Linked DNA regions of Mus musculus: all the other regions are reported to be linked to region 2. Evidence: microRNA targets listed by miRTarBase, many of them from high-throughput screens and not tested one by one. Region 2 holds a microRNA gene; each other region holds the end of a gene's coding sequence.
The links. The annotated mature microRNA mmu-miR-150-5p reads UCUCCCAACCCUUGUACCAGUG and lies in region 2 at 2,570-2,591, shown strand. An mRNA with a match to its seed (bases 2 to 7 or 8) in the 3' UTR can be bound and repressed. Matches are read on the target gene's strand: a 7mer-m8 pairs with bases 2 to 8, a 7mer-A1 pairs with bases 2 to 7 and ends in A, and an 8mer does both.

Region 1: the mRNA of Dkc1 is a reported target of mmu-miR-150-5p. Seed matches in the 3' UTR shown: 7mer-m8 at 3,489-3,495.
Region 3: miRTarBase lists Chek2 as a target of mmu-miR-150-5p. Seed matches in the 3' UTR shown: 7mer-m8 at 1,827-1,833.
Region 4: the mRNA of Ybey is a reported target of mmu-miR-150-5p. Seed matches in the 3' UTR shown: 7mer-m8 at 2,746-2,752.
Region 5: miRTarBase lists Pla2g2d as a target of mmu-miR-150-5p. Seed matches in the 3' UTR shown: 7mer-m8 at 2,840-2,846.

What each region holds. Positions count from the first base shown.
Region 1 is chrX:75,106,904-75,112,917 of GRCm38, reverse strand. It overlaps Dkc1 (dyskeratosis congenita 1, dyskerin), which reads right to left. Exons shown (of 15, transcript NM_001030307.2): 13 at 5,668-5,746; 14 at 4,614-4,739; 15 at 3,142-4,222. The coding sequence ends at 4,157. It overlaps Mpp1 (membrane protein, palmitoylated), which reads left to right. Exons shown (of 12, transcript NM_008621.3): 10 at 517-719; 11 at 917-991; 12 at 2,075-3,185. The coding sequence ends at 2,251. Among named protein-coding and RNA genes, the nearest start is that of Gm25520, 8.5 kb to the right of the region's middle.
Region 2 is chr7:45,119,193-45,125,206 of GRCm38, forward strand. Mir150 (microRNA 150) reads left to right here and starts at 2,565; the gene lies at 2,565-2,629. Rps11 (ribosomal protein S11) reads right to left here and starts at 5,197. Exons shown (of 5, transcript NM_013725.4): 1 at 5,105-5,197; 2 at 4,227-4,358; 3 at 3,971-4,046; 4 at 3,637-3,766; 5 at 3,196-3,366. The coding sequence starts at 5,119. The coding sequence ends at 3,243. It overlaps Snord35b (small nucleolar RNA, C/D box 35B), which reads right to left and starts at 3,919; the gene lies at 3,833-3,919.
Region 3 is chr5:110,871,876-110,877,889 of GRCm38, forward strand. It overlaps Chek2 (checkpoint kinase 2), which reads left to right. Exons shown (of 15, transcript NM_016681.4): 14 at 152-232; 15 at 1,605-2,265. The coding sequence ends at 1,691. Among named protein-coding and RNA genes, the nearest start is that of Ttc28, 4.9 kb to the right of the region's middle.
Region 4 is chr10:76,458,994-76,465,007 of GRCm38, reverse strand. Ybey (ybeY metallopeptidase) reads left to right here. Exons shown (of 5, transcript NM_172550.4): 4 at 683-751; 5 at 1,689-5,441. The coding sequence ends at 1,775. 2610028H24Rik (RIKEN cDNA 2610028H24 gene) reads right to left here. Exons shown (of 8, transcript NM_029816.2): 8 at 3,790-4,521. Among named protein-coding and RNA genes, the nearest start is that of Mcm3ap, 6.9 kb to the left of the region's middle.
Region 5 is chr4:138,778,560-138,784,573 of GRCm38, reverse strand. It overlaps Pla2g2d (phospholipase A2, group IID), which reads right to left. Exons shown (of 4, transcript NM_011109.3): 2 at 5,789-5,933; 3 at 5,119-5,225; 4 at 2,522-4,326. The coding sequence ends at 4,181. Gm32871 (a long non-coding RNA gene) reads left to right here and starts at 4,210. Exons shown (of 3, transcript XR_390866.3): 1 at 4,210-4,540.

The DNA.
Region 1 (6,014 bases), not on the chromosome of region 2:
TAGAGTGTTACTCTTAACATTTTAACTTTTTTAAAGAATTATTTATTACTCAGTATTATTATACAGTATTATTATGCAGTGTGTGTACTCATGCCACAGCATGTGTGTGTGTGCACTCATTTTATAGCATGTGTATGGAAGTCAGAATACAATTTATAGGAGTCAGTCCTTTCCTTCCACCACATGGTTTCAGGTTCTCAGGTTATGAGCCTTCTGTGGCAAATGCTGAAAAATTGCCAGCCCCAACATTTTAACTTTTTAACAAAATGTTTAAACAAAACCATTGTGTTCTTTCCATGTCATAAAAACAAAACAGTGCTGGAGAGATGGGTAGGTGGGGGTATTGTATCTGTACTACCTTCCAGTACCAATCCTTCAGTTCATGAGAAAAACATCTCTATTATATTATCTGCCCCAAAGATGGGTAGAGTTTCCATATAGACATTTTGAGTCAGTACACTAAAAGATAGCAAGGACCAAGAAGAGCTCATCAAGGATTTGAGTTCTTATACACAGATACAACACGGCCACCAAAGAAGAGTGAGGAAGATGGGAAGGAGTATCATTTCATCTCAACAGAGGAGATGACGAAGAACATCTCTGCCAATGAGTTCTTGGAGTTTGGCAGCTATCAGGGCAACATGTTTGGCACCAAATTTGAAACAGTGCACCAGATTCATAAGCAGGACAAGATTGCCATCCTTGACATTGAGCCCCAGGTATGTAGGCATAAAAGGGCAGGAACAATGGTTTCAGCCATGTAATGAGGGACGTGAGCTCCTGGAAATCTTGCTTCCTAAAGTTTTAGTGGGGTCAGCATGATACAAATTGGTATTGGGATTTAACACTTATTAGAAGGAATACATTCTGACAGACAACTGGGTTGTTTGTTTCTCCTTTTCTTCCCTTTTCCTAGACCCTAAAGACTGTTCGGACAGCTGAGCTTTCACCTTTCATTGTGTTCATCGCACCTACTGACCAGGGCACTCAGGTGGGAAAGGGGTCACATGGGTGGAGGTCCACACCTTTTAGGTCATTGTCAACTGTTTTTTCCAAGGCCAAGAAGACAAAGGGCATGCATATTTTATTCATTCCAGAGTTATTCAAGAGATTAGTTATTAAATAATTCAATTCTAGTCATAGTCCTGAATGAACAGTTCTAATGGCTGAGACGGACAGTTAAATAAATCCTATTTCTTATATGATATATACTGATGTGAAGCAAACAGAAGGAGCTGTGAAGGATGGAGGTGGTACTAGATCCATCACAGGGTGCAGTGTGGCTACAGTGGGAAAGGAGCCTGCTTGTAAAAGTGGCTGTTTCCTCTTTAACATCATTCATAACATTTTTAAAAGAATTGGTTAACATTTTAGAAGAATGGCATTTTCACTTTGTTTTACTATAAAAGATTGTTTCTTACTATTGAGAGTCAATCACTGCAATTGGGAGGTGAAAGGAAGAGGATCAGGAGCTCAAGGCCAGTCTGGAGTTCAAAGGCAGTCGAGTCAATAAGACTGCCACACACACTTATTAAAAGTTATTTGTATTGCTTGTATATCTGGCCATATCCTTAGCTCATGTTTCCATTGAGTTAGTGACTTCATCTAAGAATTCTATATTATGGTACTTCCCTGTAATGAAAGTTACAAATATCCCCACCACCACTATGACACATATTTCTCTATCCTTTTGCCTTTATGTAGTTAACTGACCATTGGAGCCAGAGGCTTGAGACTTGTCAATAAACTTTCTCCCTTATCCTTGGATTATAGCTGTAGTAGTTGCTAAAATGGCTTTTCCATAAACAAAGGGCTAAAACTAAGTGAATGCTAGTGAAGGCTGTGCTAGGTAATTAGGGTTAGTTTGGCATTCATTAGAATAGTTAAGTGGTTCTCAACCCCTTTGGCAAACATTATATTCTTAATTGGTTACCTAGCAGATACTAGGCCACAGGATGGATCACCACCATGCAAAAAAACAGATGGGGAACCAGTTAATGTAAACTTGTTTAAATCTTCCCTTTGCTGCTGTGATTAAAGACTGCTGCTTCATCTATGGCTTTCTTCTTTGCAGACTGAAGCCCTGCAGCAGCTGCAGAAGGACTCTGAGGCCATCCGTAGTCAGTATGCTCATTACTTTGACCTCTCTTTGGTGAATAATAGTGTTGATGAAACTCTTAAGAAATTGCAAGAAGCCTTTGACCAGGCTTGCAGTTCTCCACAGTGGGTGCCTGTCTCCTGGGTTTACTAAGCTTACAGAATTGGCAAACATGTTTCAGCCAGCATTTGGAATGCCACCTCCCCGCACCCCCTCCCTTGCTTAAGCCAAAAGGGTTGCTTCAACTTTTAGCTCTGCTGTTTTCTTACTCAGGCTCCTAAAGGGGTGAAGCTTTCCTACTATCTACATTTCAAAATGATCTCTGGAAAATTGCCATAAGAATAACCAAATGCAATGCTACATAGATAAACCAACTGTCCCCCTGAAGCCTGAGCTCCTTTGCTTTCAACTATAGAATGTCTTTTTACTCTGGAATAAATATCTTCTGAAAACTTTCTAAAATGCCAAAATCAAACAGCTGTGCAATAGAATGTCTGCTGTAGGGAAAATCTTCCAAAGCAATAAAAATGCTGCTGTGTTAAAGTACCCGTGACCCTGTAACTCCATTCCCAATCTTAACCTTCCAAGCAATGACATTAACATAAGATCTCTGGGAATTACCTGTCACTGCCTCTATAGGTCTGGTATTCACAATGCACAAAGGCGTCTTCTCTAGGACTTGTTAAGTCGTAAGAGAATGGTTTAAAACATGTTACAAAAGCAGGGGCTGTTTGGGCATTCTATACCTGCCTATGCTATTAACAATTTCCCCTAAAACTTGTGTTTATATTCTTGGTTTTGGGCACATATTTAAGCAAAGTTCCCTGCTCCCTCTGCAGTCAACACCAAAACTGGCAGTTTCCTACCTGGAGTACCTCCAACCTCTTCACAAGCCCAGTACAATATAAATGCATCTACCCCTTTCCTCTTAACCCTGGATTAGTAATGATCTCCCTTGAGAGCAGATAGGCCCCAGTGCCAATGTAAGAAAGACTCAGAATTAGGAAATTTAAAAGTAGCCAAAGGAAAAGCAAATTCAAAATAGGACATAAACCTCAGACTTTTAATAAAAATATTCTCTCACTTTTGTTGCCAGTCCAAGATTATCATAGTAAATCTAACAGGAATACTTTTTAAAAAAAAAAAAACTACAAATTACATTCTTCAGCAATGAACAATTCCATTCTGAACAATTCCATTCTTTTTTTTTTCTTTTTTTGTTTTTTTGTTTTTTTTTTTGTTTTTTTTGTTTTTTGGTTTTTTTGTTTTGTTTTTTGTTTTTTTGGTTTTTTTTTTTTCGAGACAGGGTTTCTCTGTATAGCCTGGACTGTCCTGGAACTCACTCTGTAGACCAGGCTGGCTTTGAACTCAGAAATCCACCTGCCTCTGCCTCCCAAGTGCTGGGATTAAAGGCATGCGCCACCACGCCCGGCAATTCCATTCTTTAAAAGAAAACAAATAGGAAGGTACAGGAATGCTTTGGCTTCCATAAGAAACACAAGTAGCCATATAGAGAAATCCTGTTGTACACAAAAATACAGAGTACTAGCCTAAATATCATAGATACCACCAGGCAAGGTTAATACCTGAATAGAGCAGTCCTCATAGAACACTGGAGATAAGAGTCCCCCAGTGAACATAGTTCAATTACATTTTTTCTCTCACAGAAGGTTCTATACCATTTTATGTAGCAGATTTAATTTTTACCAACTTTTTAAAAAGCAAAGTAGGAGAGGACTATCTATGGCATTGTTGAAAATGCTCATTAGTAAATAGCTGCAGATAGTTACTAGGCCATGCCATGTCTAAAGGTGTGGCTTCCTCAAGCAAGCAGAGGGGTTGGTGGCAAAGGCCTGATTTTATCTCTCATATCCTTAAAACAGGACAGGATGGGATGAGATGGCCACACCAGCTAACCACTGAGGTCACAAGTGGCAGCTAAAAGTATACCAGAACTTTCTACTCTGGGACCTCTGTTCTCCCTCAACAAAAAGTTTTTCCAATAAGGCTTTTCTTTTTCTTCCCAGCTGGACATAATGCTTCCAGAAGTGGCTTAAACTATTCAGACATCTCTTCTACCACTTTTACTTTCTTCTTCTTTTTCTTTTTGGTGGTGTCGTTGTCCTAAAGAAAGAGAAAGTAAAAGTAAGTTCAATGTACCCACTGACAAAACATTTATGACTACTGTTCCCAAAAGAAATCTGACAAATTGCACAGTCAAGTCTGTTCAAAAATCTAAGACATTTGGGGTTAAACAAATTTTGCCTGTGACCTTCTCGGTGAAGTCTTAGAGAGATCTACTTAATACACCTTCCCTACCCAGCAGCAACATAATTCAACCATGATCCACTGTTCTGAAAGGCTGGGTGCCCCTACTTCTGTGTCCAAGAAGGTAGACAAGGCAAATCTAGAACACAGGGCAGCACCAAAAAAGGCAATGGTAGGAACCCCACTCTCGCACAATTCCTGTCAAAGACTCAGCTGACACAAAGGCACACCCATGGTTCACACATACCCCATCTCCAGTTTCGCCCCCACTTTCTAGCACAGTTTTGGGCTTCTTATCCTTCTTCTTCTTCTTTTCCTTCAACTGGGGAACTGTTGGGGTCTCATCACTTTCACTCTCACTATCCCGCTTCCTCTGTGTAAAAAAAATTCACATGAAGTTAGAAATGTAGGAAGTTACCAAGAAAGATTCCACGTATATTCAATGGTTTTGTGTCTATAAACTTGAATAGTGTCTGATTTTCTAAAGATTTGAAGACAGTATCTCACTAAATAAAAAATATAGTAAGCCATGGGGCATGATGAATGTGCCAAAGCAGCGTTGCGTATAAAAGACCCTGAGAAATTGTCTCAGTGAGCCAACTCCAAGACTTAAGGTGCTCTTTGACAACTTGCAAGTTCCACCCATATAGCTCATTACTAGTCACTCAAGACAGCAAACATACCATTTGGGGCTCTAATGACAGTGGCCCCCAGCCTTGGTTACTACCACATGCTTCACTCTTGTCCTTTAAACAGTGAGTTAGCATGGACTAGAAATATTTTTTTGGTTTCTGACAATTCTGTTCCTCCTGAATTTCATTGAGGCCTCTGCTTTCAATACACTTATGCTACCTATTTAACCCAGGGTAGAGTCAAAATATGTGTGACACATTCCACACAAGGTTATTCCACTCCACACTGTGTCACAGTGGAGGTAGGAACCAAGGTAATTGATTCTTAAGTCCATACTCCCCCTACCACAGACACAACACAAATGCTACTGAACCAAACAAACATCCTCAAGTAGGAGATAGTGTGTGTAGAGCACTGCATGGATAAGCCTGCCTTACTTGCTAGGACTTGTGGCTAGACTACCTTAAACACTGGTGTATCTCTTTAAGCACACTTCTTTCTTTCCTTTGTTGTTTGTTTTTGAGACAGTGTTTCTCCATCTGTCCTGGAACTCACTCCTGTAGACCAGGCTGCTTTACTTCTGTCTTGGAAGTACTGGGATTAAAGGCATTCGCCACCACCCCACCCAGTTTGAAGCAAGCACCTTTCAAACAGATCATGCCACTCACTTTTATGACATTTACTGCTTCAGCAGCTAACTGAGGGGCTTGTACTGCTTCGGTAACCAGTGTGTTCTTGCCAGAATCACTGAAAGACAAAGGTAATATGAGGTTAGATTCATAGAAGAGTTTTCCATGGTGGTCCTATTATATCTTATCATGCCCCTTGTTATTCAATGATACTGGGCAACCCTAAAACCCCCAATTAAAACACTGATGCTAGACAAAAGAACCAACAGTTGGTTTTACAGACTGATTATCTCCACAGTCCATGCCCTGACTACTAGTACTTACTGACCCAGGTTTCAAAGAGCCAAGCAAGGGAAAGAGTGAGCTGCATTAGGGCCTGTGGCAAA
Region 2 (6,014 bases):
CAGCCAGGGCTATGAGGAGACCCTGTCTCAGAACAAACCCTGGGTTGTGCACACACACTGTCAACAGGCTCTCCCATTATCACAGCCCACCGGGAGCCAGGGTAGCACACTCACCTGCAATCCCACCACTTTGGAGGCTCTGGCAGGATAGCTATGGATTTGAGGCTAGCTTGGGCTAAACAGTGAATTCTTGGGTAGTCTCAGCAACAGAGTGAGACAGCAAGTGTCTCAAAACAAGACATAACACAAAGAACCCAAAAAGGAGGAGCAGCAATGCTGCCTGACCATTCTGCCTTCCCCACCCAAAGAAAGTTCCACACACAGCCAGACCAAGCCACAGTTAGCAGGGCCAGGCCTGCCTGCCCTGTCTGCAGTTGGTGGGCCAAAGTCTGCTGTCACTAAACCAGGACCCTGTCCTGGGTGGTGCTGATGCACATTTTTGATCCCAGCATTTGGGAGGGAGAAGCAGGAAGTTCTTTGTGAGTTTGAGGCCAGCCAGTTCTACAAAGCAAGTTCCACAACAGCCAGAGCTACACAGAACCCTGACTCCAAAACAAACACCCAAGACCCTGCTGAGAAGCCTCACCCGCCCAGAGCCAATGGCTCCTCTCTGGTCTTCTCACCAGGCATGATTCGCTACAGAATCTTCTAGAAGCATACTTAAATGACTTCATCAAGCTTGCTCTAGAAGACACAGGTCCCATAACCATACATAACCTCTGCAGCTACCTGCCAAAGGTCATTCTCCTGGGGCCATAGAGTGACCTACCTGCACAGCTAGCTGCTAGCGTGGCCACCATTTACAGATGAGGAGACTCAAGGTCTATGGCTGAGTGAGCAGTGAGGCTGGTCAGTGCTGAGCCTGTCTCAGAACACCTGGATCCTGGGGCACCTCCTCACAGTTCCCACTTCCAGGGACTGGCTGTGCAGATATATACAGCCTTTGCAGCCAACAGGCAGGATGTAAGTTTGACAGGAGACTCAAGGAGGAAGTGTGGGCTAGTGAGCTGGTTCAGTAGGTAGAGGTATTTAAGACAAAGCATCATGGTCTGTTTGACTTGTGGAACCCACATGATGGAGAGAACTGAATCCTTTGACCTCTACATGGGGGTCTGTGGCAGGCACACACACACTCACTCACATTAGTATTTTCATTTTTGGAAGAGGTTATCACTATGCAGACAGCCTGACTTCAAACTCTGAGATCTGCCTGCCTCTTGAGTTCTGGGATCAAAGACGTGTACCACTGCTGGGTGTGGTGACACACACCTTTAAACCCAGCATTTAGTGGGCACAGTTTTGAGACTAGCCTGGTCTAAAAAGCAAGTCCAGGACAGTCAGGGGTGTTACACAGAGAAACCCTGTCTTGCAAAACAAACAACCAAAAACCCCAAAGATGGGTATCACCATACCAGGCTTCGTTTGAAACAGGTCTCTTGTGCCCTTAAACTGCTGATCCTCAAGTGTCTACCTGTCAAGTGCTGGATTGCAACTGCATGCCCTTTGTGTCCCTGAGGTGCTGCGGATGGTCGCAGGACCTTGTACTTGTTAGAAAAGCCCTCCACCATGGAGCTACAACCCCAGCCCCTCGCTGTCTGATTCTAGGAAGGCACTACACCTTTGAGCCACATCCCTAGGTCTTTAGTCTAAGACAAGGTCTGTGTTGCCCAAACTAGTCTCTGACTTCTGACAATCCTCCTGCCTCAGCTCAGCCCCCCTGGCAGCTGGATTATCACCAACGTCTACATGTGATTGGAACTGGATATTAGTTACTAAGTGAAAACTGGTGCCTGAGACTAAAGGCCCAAATGGGCTGTGTGTCACCTGGAATCTCAGCACCCAGGAGCCAAGAGGTGAGGAGAGTGTGGTCAATCTGAGGCTAACCTGGTCTACACAGAGCTCCAGACCATCTAGGGACACACAGCAAGACTCTGTAAAAGTCATATAAAACCATGATGCCTGGAAGACATTTCCACCGGGAGAGGTGCCAGGCGTGGCTGGCACTGGGGTTTGACAAACCAGAGTGCAGTAGGGGAAGTGCTAGGCTCTCAGGCAGTGTTCTTCATTTGTGCAAAGGCCTAAGAAGACAACCTCCACTCTGCAGATGACTAAACTGCTGAGGGGTCGTCAGGGGTCTCTCTTCTCTCAGGTGTCCCCTCCCTCACAGACTCTGCAACTTTGAAAGGTGAAGCCCCAAGCACCCCTGAGAGGAAACAGGGGAGCTGGGCTGTTGTAAACACAGCCCCACCCGGAACGGAAGCACCTGCGGCTGGAGGGGGCCACACCTCTCAACAATTGGCTTTAGATTCCTCAGGGTCCCTGTCCCCTGTAGCTCTGGGGCTCGCCCCTCCTCTGCTTAGTGGCTCTACTCCTGGGTGGCTGGCAGGCACCCAGCTTGGGCGGTGCCCCTCCTGACCTGTCCCTGCCCCTTCCTGCTCGCTTTGATGCAGGCCCACTTCCTTTGACAGGAACCCCCTCCCTCAGCAGCCTGGTTAAATGCAGAAGGCCGTGGTGAAGCAGTGCTTTCCGCAGCATCTCTTGCAGGCAGAGGACTCTTCTCAATGCCCTGTCTCCCAACCCTTGTACCAGTGCTGTGCCTCAGACCCTGGTACAGGCCTGGGGGATAGGGACTTGGGAACCCCAGCAGCAACAACTCCAGCTTCTCCCTCCAGCCAAGGGACTTTTCCCCAGGTTTGGCCTACATACAGGGGATGCCTTGGGTCCCTTCCTAAGTGGGTGTTCCCATCACTCCAACATCCATCCTGGACAACCTGGGGCCTTCTTCTCATCTCACTGCTGAAGGGTTCCTGTCCTTGTTGGCCCTGTCCCTGGACATAAGCCAGAGGGGAGGCAGTGGCTACAGGGGTTCAAGCAGATCATGATACTCAAGTTGGAGAACTTGCCCCTTCCTAGGTGTCTTCACCTGCAAGGTGAGTATGGGAAGACCAGAGACCCAGGTGGTTCCCAGGGACACTGAAGAGCTCAGACCTAAACTAAGGTCAGAGGCTCCACCCTTACTTCCTCCTGAGAGGCAGGCAGAGCAGGGGCTGCCTGCACCAGGTAGCTGACCCTGGGTGTTCTACTTGGTTACCAAGATTTAGAGGCTCATAAATGCAGCAGATACCTCCAGCTCAGGAAAGCCCTGGCAATCTTTGCTCTGTCCCAGGACACATGAGACTCCAAGCCTGTTCTGTACGTTGGAAAATAACTTTATTTGTTCTAGGGCATTGGCCAGAGTCCCCTTAGAACTTCTGAAACTGCTTCTTGGTGCCAGCAGCCTTGGTGACCTTGAGCACATTGAATCGCACAGTCTTGCTCAGGGGCCTGCACTCTCCAACTGTGACAATGTCTCCGATCTGTACATCCCTGTGGGGTCAGACAAGGAGTCTTCAGGAGGGGCCTCCCCAGCAATTCCTTCATCCAGACAGGCCAAAGGGGTGGGGGCCACCCTTGCTCCACCCAACCAGTCACCATCTACGCAGTTGCTAAGACTAACAAACTACAACTTCTAGTTCCCAGACGTTCACACAGCAGTCTACACACTCCTGGACCCCACACTGCTCTGCCCATGGGACACCTCCAGCCTAGCCAGTGACTGTCTTGTCTAGAGTCATTATCCCAAGCTACCAGAGTCACCTGAAACAGGGGGACAGGTGCACAGACATGTTCTTGTGACGCTTCTCAAAGCGATTGTACTTTCGGATGTAATGGAGATAGTCCCGGCGGATGACAATGGTCCTCTGCATCTTCATCTTCGTCACGACACCTGGGAGAGTAACAGAAAGGTGTTAGCAGGTAGGAGTCAGTTGAACGGGGCTCCCAAGAAGCTCCATTTATGGCATCAGCTTTGTCAACTGGCTGTCTCAGCAGTGCCCTAGAGGACATCTGAAGACCATCGTGAGAACAGACATCACTTGCCAGCGCCCCTGGACGCAGGAACCTAGAACCACCCTTCCAACATCCCACTCACCAGACAGGATCCGACCTCGGATGGAGACGTTACCAGTGAAGGGGCATTTCTTGTCTATGTAGGTACCCTCAATAGCCTGCAAAGTTAAGAAAGTGGGGTTTAGATTACCACTTCCTAAACAGAACCAAGGATGACGCCTCAGGGCCCATACTACAATTCCCAGGGGCCCATGGGAAGCCACTGTGAAGGGGGCGGGGTGGCTGTGCTCCCACACGTGCAGGGCAGCAGGGATCTCATCTGCTGGAGGGTCCTGTACCTCTTTAGGCGTCTTGAAGCCTAGACCGATATTCTTGTAGTACCGAGGGAGTTTTTCCTTGCCGGTTTCTCCCAGCAGAACCCGCTTCTTGTTTTGAAAGATCGTAGGCTGCTTTTGGTAAGCACGCTCCGTCTGTAGGGATGAGAATTTGGTGAGGTTGCAGGTAAAGTTCAAGGAAATCAGAGACAATATTTCTTCCTTCCTACCTTCAACCTTATTTGCCCCAATCGCCAAAACCGGCTGGTCAGGGCTCTCCAACCACCCCAAGTCTAGTTTAGCTCACACACTGCGTCCCATCTAACACCTCCACAGCCTGCAGAACTCACGGCTGAGATCAAAAAGAGCTTTTCAGCCAGACTGGACCTCCAAAACATACAAATCCACTCATTCGGGATTCAAGCTTATGTCCACGTAGCCGAGCCTGGTGGGCCGGATCTGTCATCCCGGTTGAGGTTGAGGCAGGATGGCAAGTTTAAGACAAGCCTAAGCTCATCGAGGCCAGAGCTGCGCTCACACTGAAAACTACAGCGAGGTCGGGACCGCAGCCCTGCCGTAGAGCGCACGAGGTCCGGGCCTCAGTCTCCATCAAGGGGAAAAAACCTGCTTTACCCAGTGTCCCCGGCTCTGCCGCCGCAGGACTCCCGCGCCGCAGGATGCCCTCCTCCCGCCACAATCCCTCACCCGTTAAGCTCTGAGCTTTAAGAACCAACTCCCGAAGCGCCAGGGACCCCATTACTGCGTAGAGCCCGGATTTCCGAGCCGCCTGAGACGAAGGCATTCGCAGGCATCCTCGCTTCAGCTAATGCGTAAGACAACGAGGACGCCAAGGGATACGCTCCACACCGAAGCGTCGGGGGAAAGCAACTAAACGCTCGAACCTGAATGTCCGCCATCTTCCCGGCCGCCGGAGAAAGGGAGAGGCAGGGCCGCTCCCGGCTTCCTTATTCACCACGCGAGGTCGGGGCGGAAGTGACGCGGGGTTATCCTCACGGAGGTGGGAGGTACTTCCGGCGAGAGCCCGCGTTCCTGGGACTGTCCGTACGCCGCCATGACGGGGGAGGACTAAGGGGCGGGAAGATCCTATCATCTCGCGAGATTTCAGGAGCACGATGTGGAGGAAACGTGCATCATGTGGTACGGCGAGGCTTAGGGCGGAGAAGGCGTGCCGTACGGGTTGGGAAACACGTGCTGGGATTCAGTTTCCAGAGAGAAGCGGCCGTGCAGAGCGGGTCTCAAGAAAGGGGTGAACCGCTTTACAGCAGAGTATCTGCCATACGATGTCAGGAGCAGCCAGCGTCGACCGAATAGTCAACCTTTCTTCCTTTTATTAAAGGCCGACGTCACCAAGGTCGCATGTCCTTTGTTGACAGTATCTCAGGCTGCGCGTCTACCCACACTTTGATGGGTTTATGTCCTGACTACTCGTGGATGAGTGTCTAACCTTAGGTGACCACCCCAGGTAATAGAGGAACCATTTAGCCAGGTGGCAAAAGCTTGTGTCAGTTTCTCGTATTCACCGTTCTAGCCCTGCACAGATGGGCTAGAACAGTATAAAGCATATTTTCAAAATAGATTGACATTTTGAGTGGTGCTGGATCTTTTTAACCCCAGCACTCACGGAGGCATAAGGACTTGGCTTCCAGGTCAGCTAGCTGTAATAAAAACTCTAGTGGTGGTTAACATGGGAAGCATTTTTAAGATTATATGTAAGTACACTGTAGCTGTTCTCAGATACTCCAGAAGAGGGCATCAGATTTCATTATGGATAGTTGTTAGGCACCATTTGGT
Region 3 (6,014 bases), not on the chromosome of region 2:
GGCGAACAGCCAAGTCCCTTCATTAGGAAACTTCTGCAAAGGTATGAGGTTTGCTGTCAGGAAGGTAGCCTTGGGCATTTCCCTGTCACTCTGGGAGCTTGCTTTGCCTTATATGCAGCCTATCTCTATATACCTTTTGATTTCTTCACAGGATGAGTACATGAAGAAGAAATTTCAGGATCTCCTGGTGCAGGAAAAGAACTCGGTGACCCTCCCTGTGGCTCCCGCCCAGGTATTCTGATGACTTCACTGTGGTCTAGGATTAAGTTGCCGATGAGCAAGTCTGATGACTGAACTTTCCGTGGGGAGGCAGGTGCTCAGCTTTTAAGAAAAGGATTAATGGCAGGCTTAGTGACACATACATATACTCTTAGAAGGCTGAGATAGGGCATTGACTCTCAACAGAGGCAGGAGGAATGGGACCCACAGGCCAGCTTGCTTGCATAATATCATGTAGTAATATCGTCTCTACTTGCTGGCCGTACTTGGGATTGAACCTGCGGCCTAATGCTGCTTAGGTAAGCCCTCCAGCCCGAGCCAGTGTTTCTGCGTTTTGTTTTGATATGCTCCTGCAGCCCTGGAAGACTTAATAACGCAGGATATGTTGAATGAATTGGAACATTAGATAGGGCTTGCCAATCTAACGGAAGACGGAAGATCCTGTTAGAGGCACGAATTTAAGTTTTCAGAAAGTGTAAGACTTGGGTAAGTAGTCTATGATGGTTTCTGTTTTAAACTTTCTGTTGTTAGAAAGTAAAAGTTTTGCTTTACCATGGTTTTATTGAGGCAATTTCTTGTTTGGTTTGGTTTGGTTTGGTTTGGTTTGCTTTTTTTTTTTTCCGAGACAGGGTTTCTCTGTGTAGCCCTGGCTGTCCTGGAACTCACTCTGTAGACCAGGCTGGCCTCGATCCCAGAAATCCGCCTGCCTCTGCCTCCCAAGTGCTGGGAGAGGAAGTTTCTTGATTGCAGTTTTATCATTTTCAAGTTCTTTGTAAGTTATACCTGATCAGTGGTATATTTGGTCAGTGATCTCGATCCTTTTTCCTTACTGTTCTTTCTTGAATTTATGAATAGGAAAAGTCTAAGTAGCTATAAGTAGACAGTGTCAGGAGACAGCAACCAAGCAAAGCTGTTGGTGCTGCCTGCTGTCCACATTCGGATATACTTCAGCCTACGGTGGGATCATATTCTGAGGAACTCATCTCAAATGGAGGCATTTTAAATAGAAAGTGCATTTAACGATAATAGCTGGTGTGGCACAGTAGCGTGTGTGAGCTCCCTGGTAACCCTGTGGGAGCCGGGAGCTCTGGCTGCTTTACAATCATACCTCACCCAGAATTTTGCTAGGAAAGATCCAATTTGAACTTGCTTTTGTGTCACTTGAAAGGTTTTTTTTTTTTTTTTAAGTGGCTGTACATTTATTAGTGGTTAGAAATCGCCAGGGAGCATGGATAAGCATCTTGATTCCAGAGGTGTGTGAGGAGGATTCGGTTGTCATGACAACTAGTCATTTCCATGAAATGCCCCTAGTTTACTGAACTATGAGGAGCTTTGATAGAAGCTGTGCTTTCTCTTAAACACTTCTCCTTTTGCTTTATTTCCAGACTTCCAGTCAAAAGCGGCCCCTGGAACTGGAGGTGGAGGGTATGCCGAGCACAAAACGCCTGTCTGTGTGTGGGGCTGTGTTGTGAGCTTTGAATGTGAAAGAAATGTGCTTCCTTCCACGCTCCAATTGTCTTCTCCATCTTGACATCTTTTTTTTATATGTATATATTTTTTAAAAAATATAGCCAGGCAGTTGTGGCCCACTCCTTTAATCCCAGCACTTGGGAGGCAGAGGCAGGCAGATTTCTGAGTTCAAGGCCAGCCTGGTCTACAGAGTGAGTTCCAGGATAGCCAGGACTACACAGAGAAACCCTGTCTTGGAAAAAAAAACAAACAAGAAACAAAACAAAATAGCCTATATGATGGAACAATTGCTTTTCCATCACAGATACACGATTAAAAAACGTGGAAATCTGGGCTGATTGTTTGATGACCTGCACTTTAGATTTCTTTCTTTCTTTCTTTCATTTTAAGAAAAATGTTAGGGGGTGGTGTTGAGAGATTAACACCACTCCTGTTGAGGGCTGCAGTTCAGTTCCCAGCACCCATGTAACTACATTTCTGGATCGGATGCCCTCACCTGGCCTCTCTGGTCACCTACTACACATGTGTTCATGTACACAGAAACACATAATCATTAAAAAGAATATTCTAAAACAATGTTAGTAGTTTGTTGTGGCTTTTCATCTGGATCCTCACATTGCCAGTCTGCCCTATCAGGATGTCACTCTGGTTTTAGGCTCATCCGTCTAAATACAAATTCTAAAAGTCCCTTAGAAGGTCCAAGTCCCACTGGCCATGGTAATCTACACCTATGATCCCAGCACTCTAGAGGCAGGACAATGTTTGAGTTGACTTTGAGGCCTGTCTGATCTTTAGAGCAAATTTTAGGACAGCCAGGGTACACAGAGAAACAATCTCTTTCTCTAAACTTTCTCTTTTATCTTTAAACTCTTTTTTTCTCTGTCTAAACTTTTTCTCTGTCTAAACTCTTTCTCTCTCTCGTTTCTCTATCTCCCAACTTTCTTTTTCTCTCTCTAAACTCTCTAAACTTTCTATTTCTAAACTCTTTTTTTCTATCTCTAAACTTTTTCTCTGTCTAAACACACTCTCTCCCTCTCTCTCCCTCTCTCTTAACTTTTCTTTCTCTTTCTCTAAACTTTTTCTCTTTTCATCTCTAAACTTTTTTCTCTCTCTAAACTTTCTATCTCCAAACTCTCTTTTTCTCTCTAAACTCTTTTTCTCTCTCTAAACATACTCTCTCCCTCTCCTTTTCCCTCTCCCTCTCCCTCTCCCTCTCTCTCTCTCTCTCTCTCTCTCACACACACACACACACACACACACACACACACACACACACACACACACACACTCAGTCCCTTGGAAAGAAAAGGGCATCTGGATGTTGGGTGATTTGTACTGGCTGGCTGCCAAGGAGCCCATGGTGCTGCTGCCTGTTATAGGCCAGTCTGAAATTCATATCCCTTAGGGTTCTCACACTCCTGTAATCCATCCCAGACCTTGAGAAGCAGAAATAGTAAGATATTGACTTTGAGGGCAGCCTGAACTGTATAGTGAGACTTTTGCCTTAAAAAATGGATAAAACACAGAAATTATGCTCAGTCCTGTACAGTTTACATCTCTAAACTCCTGGGGCTACATTAAATTCAGATATTAATATCTCCCCCACCCCCACCCCACCAACAGTTTTAGGCAGGTGATAGAGTGCTGCTTTAAATTGGGTCCTCCAGCCATCCATGTGGTAGACATATAGAGAAGTAAGGGGGGAGATAGAGATGTCTCTCTAGTGGTTAAGAGCATTGGTTGTCATGCTGTCACTGCGGGTCATGTCTGGGTCTGTGGTCATGTAGTAGCAGGGGCCTGTTGATTTCTTGGATCATATTACTACATAGACCATGCAGACCTCCCTGGTCTGGGCTGCTGTGTGGGAGAGACCTCATAGATATCCAAGGGCTGATATCCAGATATCCAGAGCTGGCCCCACCCCTGACTGGCTGCAGCAATCAGGAGAGCAGGCCTTCCACCTTGCAGGAGCAGCACAGAGCTGGCCCCACTGCCATGATGGGACATGGGTGCAGTGGAGATGCCCTCCCCCATCCCTCAACACCTGAGGCAGGTCCTAGGTCATGAGAACAGGCAGGACTTGGGAGAGTGGCCTTGCACCTTGTCTGGGCAACAGCCAGCTCTGAGGGAGTGAGTGGGAGAGCTGGCCCAGCCCCTCACTGCCAGCTGCAGTATTGGGTGAGCTAGCAAGGGCAGTGCTAGAAAGCTTGCCCTGGTGGTGCAGATATGAGAGAGCTGGTGGGCTAGCCATCTGTCTCAGCTACCACCCAGATCCAGCGCTTTGAGTTGTCCCACCCCAAAATCTAATTCATCTATGAGCTGCTGGAGCATGTGCAAGGGCTGGTCCTACAGATCCAAAGCTGCAGGATTTCCATGATCCAGGCCAACAACAGGATAACTAAGAGGAGTCCTGTGAGGATCCAGTATTGATAGTGTTGCAGAAGCAAGAAGACTCAAACCAGACCAGTGACTAAATGCAATGAACATTTGCAAGATGTGTGGACAAGAGGGTAGGTATACTGTAGAACACACCCTGGCACACTATAGTGTCCGTGTCAAAATGCTCTCCATGGGGTGTGTTTGTGGGGAAGTTGCAAGGGAAGAGGGGGATGTGAAGGGACGGGGAGATGAGTGAGATTGGGGTGCAGGTGCATAATGTGAGACTCACAAAAATAAATAAATAAATAAAAAGTTGAAAAGCATTGGCTGCTCCTCCAAGAGCACCTGAGTTCAATTCCCAACATCCTTATGGTACCTCAAAACTGTAGCTAAGCAGCATGGTGGCGGCCCACGCCTTCAATCCTTGCACTTGGAGGCAGCTGCAGGTGGATCTGAGTTTGAGGCTAAGCCTGGTCTACAGAGTGAGTTCCAGGACAGCCAGGACTGAGAAACTCTGTCTCCATAAACCAAACATTAAACCAAAACCAAAAGCAAACTCCATCTTGAGTTGAACTCATCTTAATTTTGAGACCTTTTAAATAAAAAAAATGCATTTAGTAATATTCCAATAATGCACACAGAGCTCCCCTGGAAACTCCATCCATGATCACAGTGCTGTCTGCTATGACAGAGGAGGCGGCTGCTGTTGCAATCAAGGCCATGGCAAAATAACTGGCTTCCAGGGTGGTGGTGGTGGTGGCAGCAGCAGTGATCCATGAGCCTACAGAGGCCCCTCCCCCAGTCAGGTTCTGCTCTGGCTGGGACCTTGGCTGGACTCCTGTTCAATTTATTTGATGTTTTATTATGGTTTTCCTCACCCCTTCAAACTGTCGGGGAGACCCTGCCCTTGTCCTAGCTACCTTGTCCAGGAATGAGGGAGCCATGGCCTTGGTGAAGCTACCTGCTTCTCTCGCAGCCCTGATGGGGGCAAAGGGATTTGGGTACTGATGTGTTAGAATAGCAGCTAGTGTCTGACATTGCTTACCAGGCCAAAGCAGTTCCATGTGTAAGAGGTTTTACTGGGGACAGAGAGGGGAGAGAGAGAAAGACAAAGGGGAAAAGAAAAAAAGCGAAAGGGGGTACCCAGGTGAGTGTGGGAAGCAGGGCTCTGGGAAGGTATGTGGTAGCTATAGCAACAGGTGACACCTATGTGTGACATCCTGAGTTTGGAGTGGGTCTGCAAAACTGGTCTTTGGATGCCAACAGGCACTGCTTGTGGTTTAGGTTCCCCTATCCTTTTTTTCTTTTTAATTCAATTTGGAATCAGAAAAAATATATATATTTAGTAGTTCCAATAATGCACACAGAGTGTATGATATATGGGTTCCCCTGGTAACCCCATGGTCGGCTGGGAGTTCTAGGGCCTCAATACCCTCTGGCTTCTGTGGGCACTGTGCATGCAGGTGGTGCATAGACAGACATCAAAAAACACCATTCACATAAAATTAGAAGAAGGAGGAGGAGAAGGGGAGAGAAGAAGTTTTTTAAGACTTATTTTATGTAGGTGAGTATTGCCTACCTGTATGTACAGGGAAGAAAGAGGGTACTGGTGCCTCTGGAACCGGAGTACAAATAGATAATTGTGAATCATCTGGGATCTGAACCCAAGTTCTCAGCAAAAGCAACAGGTGCTCTTAAGCTCTGTGTCTTCTGGCCTCTTTACATCACTATGAACCCTGAACTGCCAAAAGTAACAAAGACTTCTTACATACCCTAAGGCTGGCTGTTGTGACAATCCTTTGATGCTTAGAAATGGAAACATTGTTTGTGGCCTGCACTTTACCTCATAAAAAGTGGAATTTGTTTCAGGAGTTCACAGGAACACCTGCAGGACAATTCTAATAGCAACTTTAGTTTGCTTGTTTGTTTGTTTCTGACCCATTGTA
Region 4 (6,014 bases), not on the chromosome of region 2:
ATGCCTACTCTGCACAGGTGCCCTGACCTTGTTTTACGCCCTAGCCTAGAGGGATGGCTCCGTGGGTATCAGGAGCCACTGTTCTGGTGAACACGAGTTCTCTTCCCAGCATCTGGGTCAGGTATTTTACAACCGCCTGCCCCCAGCTCCAAGGTATCAGATGTCCTCTCAGGCCGCAAGGATGTCTGTACTCATGTGCACATATACACAATTTAAAAATAATAAGTAAATAAATGAAAAGATGTAGACTATACCACCCAGGTCTTGAACTCTTGGATTCAATCAATACTTCACTGCAACCTTCTAGACCACTGATACTACAACCGTGATTCACCCTTGCTTAATTCTATCTAGTCAGATTCCCAATACTGCCAGGGACAATCAACTCTTTTTACCTGGTCTCAACCCCAAACAGTGTTGCTCCACACTAATTAAGTGAACTGAGTGAATGAATTGTTCTGTTTTAGACAGGAGGCGATAGAGGTTGGGATGTAGCTCACTGGTAGCACTTGCCTAGACAGGAGAGAACTGAGTATTAACTCCAACCCAGGGCAGCAACTGTGTATCCTGCCCCAGGGTCCTGGCGTAGGACAACTCAGTCTTACAAGGGTCCTCTGTGAGCCCGAAGGGGCGGCCGTCTGGTAGATCATCCCCTGAGCTGACTTCTCAATTACTCCAACAGGTCACAGCCACCCATGGACTCTGTCACCTGCTGGGCTTCACCCACAGCTCCAAAGCCGAGTGGCAAAAGGTAGGAGGGGTACCTGTGCAAGGGGCTACCCCAGATACACCCTTAACCCTTAGGCTGCTGCCCAGCATTCCCCTCCCCCACCTCGAAACCCCATGGCAAGAGGCCGAACTACAGCCTCCATCCATCCTGCCTGGAAAGGTGAGGTCTTGTATTGAAGGCTCTGGCTCCTCATGATACTTCACTCCTGAAAGGCACCCTGGACAGGCAGGTGAAAGTTAAATTCCCTGAATGCTAGCTATTATCGATGGGGGTCAAGGGACACTTAATGTTCAGAAAAACATACAAAAAATAAAAAATAATAAAAAAAACCCTTACCCATCAGTTGGCAACAAATAATGCTAAGTCATGGTTTTTTTCTTCTAACGGCCAATGGGTACCACACTTAAAGCCCACTACGTTGTCCAATAGGCTTGGGTTACGTTTGTAGGTAATGTGTGTGCTGGTTATCTGCAGAGGCAGAGGAAGGAGTAGATCCCCTGAAACTGGAACTACAGCTGGTTGTGAGCTTCCTGATACGGGTGCTGGGAACCGAACCCAGGCGATCTGTGAGAGCAGTGAGTGCTCTCCACTGCTGAGCCATCTCTCCAGCACCCATGAATGAACTTTTTTTTTCAAATTAAAAGTAGATCGCAGTCTGCTTCTGCTACCACCCAGCCCTGTCTATGCCCACTCCCTCCCTGCCCCACACTTCCCTGGGCCCCATGTGTACCCCAGCTTCTCCCCCTTCCTTTGGGAGCCCACTCCCTGCTGTCCTGTCCTTTGATCTTGCATCTACCTACAGCTCTCTGAGTCTCTGTTCAGGTGCTGCTGATAGACTTGTGCAGAGCCTGGGGGAGCGGCTAGGGGGGCTTCAGAAGGAGGTGAACCCTGGGAGGACTCGGACTCGGGACAAGGGTCCCCAGAGTCCCTCCAGAGCTTGTGCTCTGCTGTGTTCCAGATGTACAACCAGGAGAAGCTGGTGCTGGAGGAGCTGAGCCGCTACACGGGAGCTAGGCTCCAACCCCTGAGCAGGGGCCTCTACTGATGCCACAGAGCTTTGAGACAGAGAACTTGTTGGACAGAGTCCCGTCCCTCTGCAAGACTCCAGGGAGCCTCTGCTTACCAGGGAGCCCCTGAGTGGACCACGTGGAGCCGGAATAGATGCAAAAAGCAAGAGGAATTTTTGTTCCAGTGCACTGGGGTCTTCCCAGACCCGAAGGAGAGGCGGCGACCCCCAGCACCCATTCAGGGAGTTTTTATATGGTTTCCAGGGGCAGAAGAGAGCATCAGCAACTAGGCACAACGTGATTGGCGGAGCAGTGCACCCTTTAAACTGATTGGTCTTTAGGGAATGAAGTGACAAGGACGTCCCTTGTCTGAAGGTGTCCTGCAGGATGTGTCCCCACCCACAGGGCAGTTCTGCCCTAAGGTCTGAGAAATGTTAATTAGCCTCTTCCTTCTGGAGGGGCAAGTGTTTCATGACCTTCCCAAACTTCCTAAGCTGGCCTTTTTACCTCCACAGTGGATCTCTGCTGGTCCTGTTGCCCTGGAGGGCCTCAGCCCACACTACAGCTTCACTCTGTGAGTGGACCAAGTACCAAGGAAGTGCCTGTCAGCCCTTACTCTGATTAGAAATCTATGCGGACTCTGTTGTAAGCAGAATCAGGCGTTCTAAGAGAAGAAACATGGACGCTCTTGTGCTTCTTTGGGTTTCTAGCTGTAGAGTCTGGGCAGATTGCCTTGTCTCCCTGAAGTGGGAGGAACGTGCCAGAACACTGAAGCCTGTTCTCCTAGGAGGAGGCGCCTGCAGACCAGCAAGCCCAAAAGGACACCTTGTGCCCTCGCCTTTCTTAAGCTGTTGGCTGCAGACACCACGGGACAGCCCACAGACCTTGTCTCCTGGGGCCAGAGAGTCAGGAGTGTCCCCCATCTGTGTTGCTGTTTGTAATTGTTTTAGATGACCTTTATTTTATTTGGAGCAGGGCAGTGGTGGCACACGCCTTTAGTCCCAGCACTTGGGAGGCAGAGGCAGGCGGATTTCTGAGTTCGAGGCCAGCCTGGTCTACAAAGTGAGTTCCAGGACAGCCAGGGCTACACAGAGAAACCCTGTCTCGAAAAACCAAAAAAAAAAAGGATTTTATTTGGTGTGTGTCATGTGTGGGTACACATTTCCCACTGCGGGGGGTGGGGTGGTCAGCTGGGGGGAGATGTCTCTCTCGTTTATTATTTTGTCCCCAGAGATGGAACTCTGGTTGTCAGCCTTGCCATCCCACTGACATCCTGCAGGCCACCGTAGTCCTGCCACTGGGGCTCCCCTATTGGCTGTTAGAGGCATGGTAGTTCTGCTCAAGGCCTGGAACATGGAATTCTGGTGACCTGAAGTCTAGTTCAAAGCAACATGCAAATGTCTGTGCAAATCTGGATCACGAGAGTCTTCCCAGCAGGTAGCCAGGGACCTTGAACCTAGATAGGGTTTCCTGACCCCTCTGCTGGGTGTACCCGCATATACACCTATGCCAGCCTGTTCCCTTCTTCTCGGCCATCTAACTGGTTCCTCGCCTTTGAGCATCCTTAAGGAATGACTGCTTCTGTGCCCTTCATTTTTCTATTTCCCTTTTTCTCTGCTTGGTATTTCTGGTTTAATTTGGTGGGGTTTTTGGTTTTTTTGGTTTTTTGGGGGGTTTTTTTGTTTTTTTTTTTTGTTTTTGTTTTTGGTTTGGTTTGACCTTGCAGCTCTGGGCATGGAATCCAGGATCTTGTCAGGCTTGGCAAGGCTCTGCCACATTCCCAGCCTGTTGCTCAGCTGCCCTAAATCTGTGGGTTGGTCAGCAGCTGTCTCTGAGTCCAGCCACATTGTTATGATGACTCCAAGCCTGAGGGGGCACTATCTGCCCTGTTCCAGGAGGCACAGCATCCTCACTTGGGGCTTCCTCACTTTGTGTTTATTCCAGATTTCATTTCGTCCCTCACTTCCCTGAAGGGCCTGTGATGTTTTTTAATTTTTAAAAAAGATTTACTTGGGTATGGGGGACTTTTGGTATAGCATTGGAAATGTAAATGAGCTAAATACCTAATAAAAAAAAGATTTACTTATTTTATGTATATGAGTACACTGTAGATGGTTGTGAGCCATCGTGTGATTGCTGGGAATTGAACTTAGGATTTCTGCTCGTTCCGGCCCTGCTCGCTCCAGCCCAAAGATTTATTAATTATATGTAAGTACACTGTAGCTGTCTTCAGATAAACCAGAAGAGGGCGTCAGATCTCATTACAGATGGTTGTGAGCCACTGCGTGGTTTCTGGGATTTGAACTCGACCTTCAGAAGAGCAGTCAGTGCTCTTAACCGCTGAGCCATCTCTCCAGCTGGGGCCTGTGATCTTGATGAGAGTTTCATGGACTCTGTGGATTGGCCGCTCACACACTTGAGCCATCTTTAAAATCTCTGGGGCGTACTGTGCATCTTCTCAGAGTAAAGTTGTGCACAGTGGTGCAGTCCCTGTCACCACTGTTAAGGGGCATGGCCAGGAGAAGCTTTTCCCTGAGTCACTGGGGACCCCCTAAGCCCACTACAGGGCCTGCTCAGACTCTTTAGTCTCCCACAGGTGGTCCTCAGACAGCAGGCTTGAAAGGGACGGGGAAGACTGTGTGTGAGGGTGGGTCCATGTACACTCCCATAGCTTCCAGAGGCTGATGGTGCTCCCAGAGCCAGGATGCTCCCAGGCTACTTCCTCCTTGTTAGCCCAGCATTGCCAGGCCATCTGAGACAAAACATCTGCCAAATATCTTCCTTCTATCAGATCAATAATCATATGAGAGGAAAATCGTGTTAGAAACATCATCTAGGAAGGAAATTATGTGAGCTCTTTAACTGGTGCTTTTAACAAAACCAAGTTTCTCTGGAACCACACCCCAAGGCGCACTGAAAGACAGGTCTGTCTTTATGGATTCTTCTCTACCTGATGGGCTGGGGTGGAGATGGAGGAGAGAGAGCAACCATCCAACCCTCCCGGAGTGAACAGTGCTTTGTAAACAGCGTGTGTAAATACCCATACTTACACAGCCTGCAGTGCCCACGTGCATGCATGTGGACCTCACATGTACCTGGGCCTTGTTATGATTATAAAATGTTATAAGTATGAGTATCTTGCCTGTGTGTATTTATGTGTGCACTCCTGATGCCCTTGGAGGTCAGAAGAGGACATTGACTATCCTGGAACTGGAGTCACAGAGAGTTGTGGATTGCCATGTGGTGCTATTGAAAGAAAATAAAACTTGAGTCCTGTGATTCATGTAATAGCCCAAAGAGTTGTTTGTGAGCTTTGAAGCCTGGGACTGAGAACATAGCAGAACAGGCCAGGACATGCCTGGGCAGGCCCATCATTAAGACATTCCTGAGGCTGCTTGGCCATAAAGATAAAGAGAATGCAAAGACATGTCCAGACTGGCCTGGCGCCTCCCTATCTCCCACCCTTCTGACATGGGTTAAATGTTAACCAGATGCTCTGCTGTTACCTCCATCTGCACATACACTCTGCTGATGTTTAAATGAACCAATCGTGTGAAACCGCGCCAATTCCTCCCCCAGCCCCAGACCCTTTTCTATAAAAACCCCTAGCTTTCAAGCCTAGTGGTCGACAACCGCAATCTCCTGTGTGAGATACATGTCGGCCCGGAGCTCCGTCATTAAACTACCTCATGTGTTTGCATCAAGACAGTCTCTCGTGATTCCTTGGGTGCACACCAACTCGGAATTGAGTGGGGGGTTTCTCCACTAGGTTCTTTCACTATGACTTAAACCTGAGCAACAAGCACTCCTAACACTTAGCCACTGAGCCAGCTCTCTAGCCCTTTTTTGTTTGTTTGTTTGTTTTTAGAGACAGGGTTTTTCTGTGCAACTCTGGCTGGCTTAGAACTAACTATATAGACCAGGCTGGCCTCTGCCTCTGGAGTGCTGGGACTAAAGATGTGCACCACCGTGCCCAGTTTCTTATTTTCTTTTTAATTACATTTAACCAGCCACAGGGGCTGGGGTCCAGGCACATCCCATGCAAAAATGGAGGCAAGAGGCCAACCTGTAGAAGTTGGTCACCTACCACCACCACCTAAGCCCCCATATCCTGAGAATAAAACTCAGTTATCAGACTTGAGAGCAAGCACCTTTACCTGCTGAACAATCCTGTTAGCCCTGTATATGCCCTGTATTATTATTATTATTTCTTTCCTCCTCCTCCTTCTTTAGAAATATCTATTTCATGCATGAGGACACTGCCACTGTCTTCAGAC
Region 5 (6,014 bases), not on the chromosome of region 2:
CGGGCTCATTGGCTAGAACTTACCAACTAACCCTAACTTCCCTTGGTAGAACGGACGCTGGCCTTCCTGGGTCCTGTTATTCCAATCTCAAGTACTGATAGGAGCTCTTGGGTCACACTCCACACTTCAAACAGGGTTCAGAGTGTCTGGGAAAGAATTCAAAGAAGCCATGGAGCTCAAAGACCTCACTGAAGGTAGAGGTTGAGAGCTGGGTGAGAGCCAGTACAGAGACAGAGGCATTGAGGTGGCCCGCTAAGATACTCAGAAGCTGATGGGAGGGGGCATTGGAGGCCAGCGAGGCAAGACAAGGATCTGGCCACAATTCAAGTTTTCTTAAGCTACCCACCAAGATGGCTATAGTATTAGGTGGCCTTCCTTCTGTGAGGTCCAGTGGAGAAGGTTGTAGTCCCTTACTTTCCAGGTCTGGTGTGTTCTATAAGTTCATGGTAATTTTCTGTTTGGTTTGGTTTTTTTCCTCTTTGAGTTTGTAGCCCAAGTTAGCTTCAATCAGTAAGTGGTTAAGTGTCTTAGTCAGGGTTCCTATTCCTGCACAAACATCATGACCAAGAAGCAAGTTGGGGAGAAAAGGATTTATTCAGCTTACACTTCCATACTGCTGTTCATCATCAAAGGAAGTCAGGACTGGAACTCAAGCAGGTCAGAAAGCAGGAGCCGATGCAGAGGCCACAGAGGGGTGTTTCTTACTGGCTTGCTTCCCCTGGCTTGCTCAGCTTGCTTTCTTATAGAATCCAAGACTACCAGCCCGGGGATGGCACCACCCACAATGGGTCCTGTCCCCTTCATCACTAACTGAGAAATGCCTTACAGCTGGATCTCATGAGACATTTCCTCAAGGGAGGCTCCTTTCTCTGTGATAACTTCAGCTTGTGCCAAGTTGACACAAAACCAGCCAGTACATCAAGGATGAACTTGAACAACTCCTCCTCCTCCTCCTCCTCCTCCTCCTCCTCCTCCTCCTCCTCCTCCTCCTCCTCCTCCTCCTTCTGGTTTTTCAAGACAAGGTTTTTCCTGTGTAGCCCTGGCTGTCCTGGAACTCACTCTTTAGATCTGATTGGCCTCAATATTAGAGAGATCCACCTGCCTCTGTCTCCTAAGTACTGGGATTAGAGGTGTGAACCACCATCACCACCACCAACAACAACCGGCAACTTTGAACTTCTAATCCTCCTGCCTCTACCTCCAGAGTGCTGGGATTACGGTTGTGCGCTGCAATACCTCATTTTATTTGTTGGTGAGGGTTGAACCCAGGGTTTCATACATGCTAGGTAAGCACTCTGTTGTCCGAGTTACATCTCCAGATTAATATGGCTGATGTCTTACCCCTTTCTGATTTACCTTGTAGTTCCTCTGCAAGACTCTCTCCCAGGCATGAGATAAGTATTTATCATTTTGTGCCTTGCGTCTCTTGCTGAACAAGGTGGTTTCTGTGTGTGTGCGCAGTAAGATTCTGCCATCTGGCCAGAGCATTTGCTCAATAGAGGGAGCTGCTACTTTGTAACTGCTCTAGACAAGGCACGGGCTTTCAAAGCTGATGTCCGCAGACCATCCAAGTGTGGACCACGAGCGGAATCTGCACATCTTCTCAGGGACAACTAAATTCATGGAAGTCTAAACCAACCAGGGTATCCCTCCTCTCTTAAGCTAGCTCAGGCTCAGGGGGGCTCGTCCCTAGGGGAAGTTGGCTTTGTGGTGGAAGAGGCCAGGCCACTTCAGTGTCTAGAGGTCTGGAGAACCATGGCTGCTATTGGAGCCACGGAGAGCCTGCCCAGGAGGAAAACTGGCAAAGTGAGTGAGCGTAGCCCAGCCAGGGGCAGGAGAGAAACCAGGCTCTGAAGACATCTTCAAGCCACCAAAGAGGCAAGCCGGGAGCCAAGCTCTCCTCACCCTACCCCCACCATACCCCCAATTTCCAGCCTCCCCTTGCTTTCTTTTTCTCTTTTTTCTCTTTCCTTTCTTTTAGTCATTTTCTTGTCTCAGACTTAGACACCATCATGCCTAGCCTGGACGTCTTTCTCAGCAGACTTTAAAAATAAATAAAGTGACGGTTTTAAGTTCATTATAAGCTCCGTCTCCAGCACAGTTTCCTGCTCTCGCACCCCCCACCCCCACTAAAATGAGCATTTCAACTGTGGGGATTTGAACCCAGAGCCCATAGCGGGGACTTCTTTGTACTCTGCCTCACTGGGGTTTTAAGAAAACTTCTCTGTCTTGTTATGCTGAGTCACAAGCTGGAGGGTGTGGGCGGTTCTGGTTCCCTCAGCCCTGAGGTTGGAAACACAGCTATTCACACAAGAATAACAGATGTTCTTTGAAACAGTTGTTGCCAGGCAAATAACTGCCGGACCTGCTGGATGGGATACCTTTTGCCAACCTATGTTCTGTTTCAGATGCTACTTCAGCTCGGCCAACCATGGGGACCTTGGTGACCCCTGAAGGAGACCCTCTCATAGTGGGGCTCCCTCCCAGACCCTGAATTAGTCACAAATCACATCCAAAGACCGGTTTTCACAGAGAGACCTTTTATTAAGCGGTGAAGAAAAGTTAAAGTGGCTATTTTCTGACTCAGACAGAAAAACAGCAGCAAATGACCTTGCAGGTGTAATTTATAAGAATCGGGAAAAGGGGAGGTCTGTGTTAGAATGGGCTGGGTGCCTTGGTATGTTTTGATTGGGCGTATTGGGTGAACCAAAGAGGGCCTTTTTTTTTTTTTTTTTTTTTTGATTTTCGAGACAGGATTTCTCTGTTGTAGCCCTGGCTGTCCTGGAACTCACTCTGTAGACCAGGCTGGCCTTGAACTCAGAAATCCTCCTGCCTCTGCCTCCCAAATGCTGGGATTAAAGGCATTCACCACCACTGCCCGGCCTCAAAGAGGGCCTTTGATTGCTGGACTTCAATACTTTGATAGGGGACCTTGGTAGTCAGCCTAAGGAGGAGAAACTGGCCAAATAAGGGAAGAGACTTTGGGGGCTAGCTTTAGGAATGCAATCTAATGTTTTGTTGTTGTTTTGTTTTGTTTTGTTTTGTTTTGTTTTGTTTTGTTTTGTTTTAGCAAGGCAGAGAGAATTGGGGAAAAGGGGAAGGCCTGCCAGAGCCATGCTTGCCAGGTCTAGGCTAGCTAGAGTCCCTTCAATGCCAATAGCTGCAGGGATGAAGGTAGGCTGGGTCAGTTTGAGCCAGAAAGGATACTCAGCAAAGCTATCCCTCAAACCCTAGTCCCCCTTCCATGTTCATATGGGAAGCTGATCTTCCAAGAATTCTGGCTCCTGAATCTGCCACTAATGAACACACTTTCCTTAGCTGCAGCAGCTAAGGAAAGTTCTGAGGTTTGTAATTAGGCCGGTGGTTCTGGGAGGGAGAGAGGTCATGGAATTTATAAATGTTGCTAAAACGTGTTTCCCCAGAGGTGGAGCCTGAGTCAGGGGCTCTTGTGAAAGTTGTTTATTAAGAGGGCTCTTTGGAGAAAGTTTCCAGAGAAAGAAACCAGGCCTGGGATGAGACAAAGTACTGGAACATCTATCATCCTGGTCTCAGGAGAAATGTGGGCTGTGATGCCACCCAGACAGTCCAGCCCAATGATGTCCTTAGCGCTGGGGAGAATGGCTAGCCAAGAGAGGCTTCCAAAGGACGGCCCCGGAGCCTGAGCTATTATGCAGCAAGAGATCCCAGCGAAAGCACAACGGGCAAGAAACAGCAGGCCAAGCTCCAGGACCCACCGAGTGCAACAAGACTGCAACTTCCCCCACCCTTAAATCCCGTTGTTGTTGGAGCCCATAATGGGCTTGGTTCTAGGGGACTCCTGAATCAAGGTACCACCAGAGGGTACCACTGAATCTGAAATGGGGCAGGGCTGAACCTAGAGGTCTCATAGCTTAGTTGGGGGAGAACACAGCATCAGAGGGCTGAGCTCTGACCTTGGTCCAGAAAGACCAGAGTTTGAAGGGAGAGGAGTGTCACCGTTAGAAAGATCAAAAGGGTCCTTTACAGTAGAAAGGCACCAAGAGGAAGTCCTCAAGGCCAGGCCCTTTTGCAAGGAGACCTTGAAAAGCCAGCTGGTCCAGGAGACTAGACACCAGAGTGGGAGGCAGCAAGCTGCAGGACTTCAATGCTTGAGATGTCCCAGGACAGGGTGGAATCCAGGGGACAGACAGAGTGGACTCCCTTAGCATGCTGGAGTCTTGCCTTTGCAACGGGGCCGCCAGTAGTAACGCAGGCGCTTATTGTAGCTATCCAGGTTTTGCTTCAAGCACAAGGCCACCTCCTTGTCACAAGCACACAGTTGCCTTTCACACCAGCTCCCGTTGTCAGCTGTGGGCAAAAAAAACAGGAACGGCTCAGCATGTGTCCCTTCCCGAGACTGCCTGTGGGGTGCAGAAGGGGTCCTGAAACCAACGTGGTGCTTGGTCATCTTTGGAGATAGCCTCTTTGATTGGATACTCTGTTACCTAATCTCGCGTCTGCACACTGAACAACCGTTGAGCACCGTTCCGGGGCTTATGCTAGAGGGAGAAAGCTGAACCAGGTGAGCAGGTGGGAAGGCAGGAGGCAGAGGGCCACAGAGTGAATGAACATGGCCAAGCAGAAATGTGGGGAATCTAAGCCTGTAGGAGGATTAGGCATGTCAAGGAGCCATCCCCAGCTCAGACCACCGCTCCTCCTGAAAGCTGGGGTTGCTAGCGTCTCCACAAGGAGAGCATCTGTGTTAGCTTCCGCGCGTGCGCAGTTCCATTAACCTTAAGGTGAGGTGTTACAGGGCCTGATCGTGGTAAAAGGAAACAAGACCATGTTAGGGGTGCCTATGGGTCCCTCATGAGAATGGGTGTGGCCAACACCTCCTGAAGTTCTTCCTGTTGGCTTGGTCGGACAGATTACAGAGGAGGTCATGGCATTTCAGGGAGGTTAAACAGTGCTGAGCGCACGGCTGACGTCCCCTTGGTCCTCTCCATACCTTCACCTCCGCTGCTCCTCACTGCCCACCCCACCGAGAAGGAACAGCATCAGGTGTCAAGTGCTTTATGTAGTAGCACACTGGGTCTATGGAGGCAGAGGAGGACAGGACTTCCCAGGTCCAGCCCTTGACCCACAACCCTGGGCACTCACAGCACTGGATAGTGCCCTGGGAGATGCTGTATTTGTAGTTGTCTGTCAGGCTCTTGCATCCATCGATCTTCAGGTGGGCATAGCAACAATCATGCTTCTGACAGCACCTACAGGGAGAGGCAGGCAGGGAGCACAGCTGTGGGAGCCACTAGTCAACAAGGTCTCTATCTCCCCTCGCACTCTCCAAATGCCCACCAGGGGTGATCAAAAACATTGGGGTTCCCTGAGGTCATGAGAGCTGCTGTTGGTCAAAGGTTCCCATGGTTGTTCCAGCCACCTAATCTTTTAATCCCCGTGACTACCCCATGATGGGGTGCTGGGGTCACCCCCTTTCCACAGAGGAGGAAACAAAATTCTGGGGGTTGAGACACTTGGCCAAGGTCGTGTGACTTCTCTGGCTGGCTCTCAAAATGGTTGTGAAAACCCAGATGAGAACAGGCAAAGAGTTTGGGCTTTGGAAAACATGTGTAATGGTAACAGGGGGTATGTTAGAGCTGTTAGAGCTTGGTATTCTGTGGAACCTTCTAGAAGGCCCGTTCCAAGAGGCTTGGGACCAGATTAGCACTTAGTGCCCTAGCATGTAGTATGTGCTCAGCAAAATGCATTTGCTAACTGAATCAGTGAGTATAGAAGGAAGGAGAGTCCCAAGTAGGCCAGGGAGGGGATTTACCAGTCTGTGGCATCTTTGGGTTGCCCTTTGCCACCAAGTCCACAGTGACAGCCGTAGGGCCAGTAGCTGAAGAAGGCTTTCTTCCCCGTCATGTGTGTGACCATCTTGTTCAGGTTCAGGAGCCCTCCCTGGGTTGCAGTTATACCTGCCAAGCAGCCAAGCAGTGAGGAAAGGGGTGAAGTGGGGTCCCAGGGGCCCACGGGTGGTGGGGGATGGGATGGGAGGG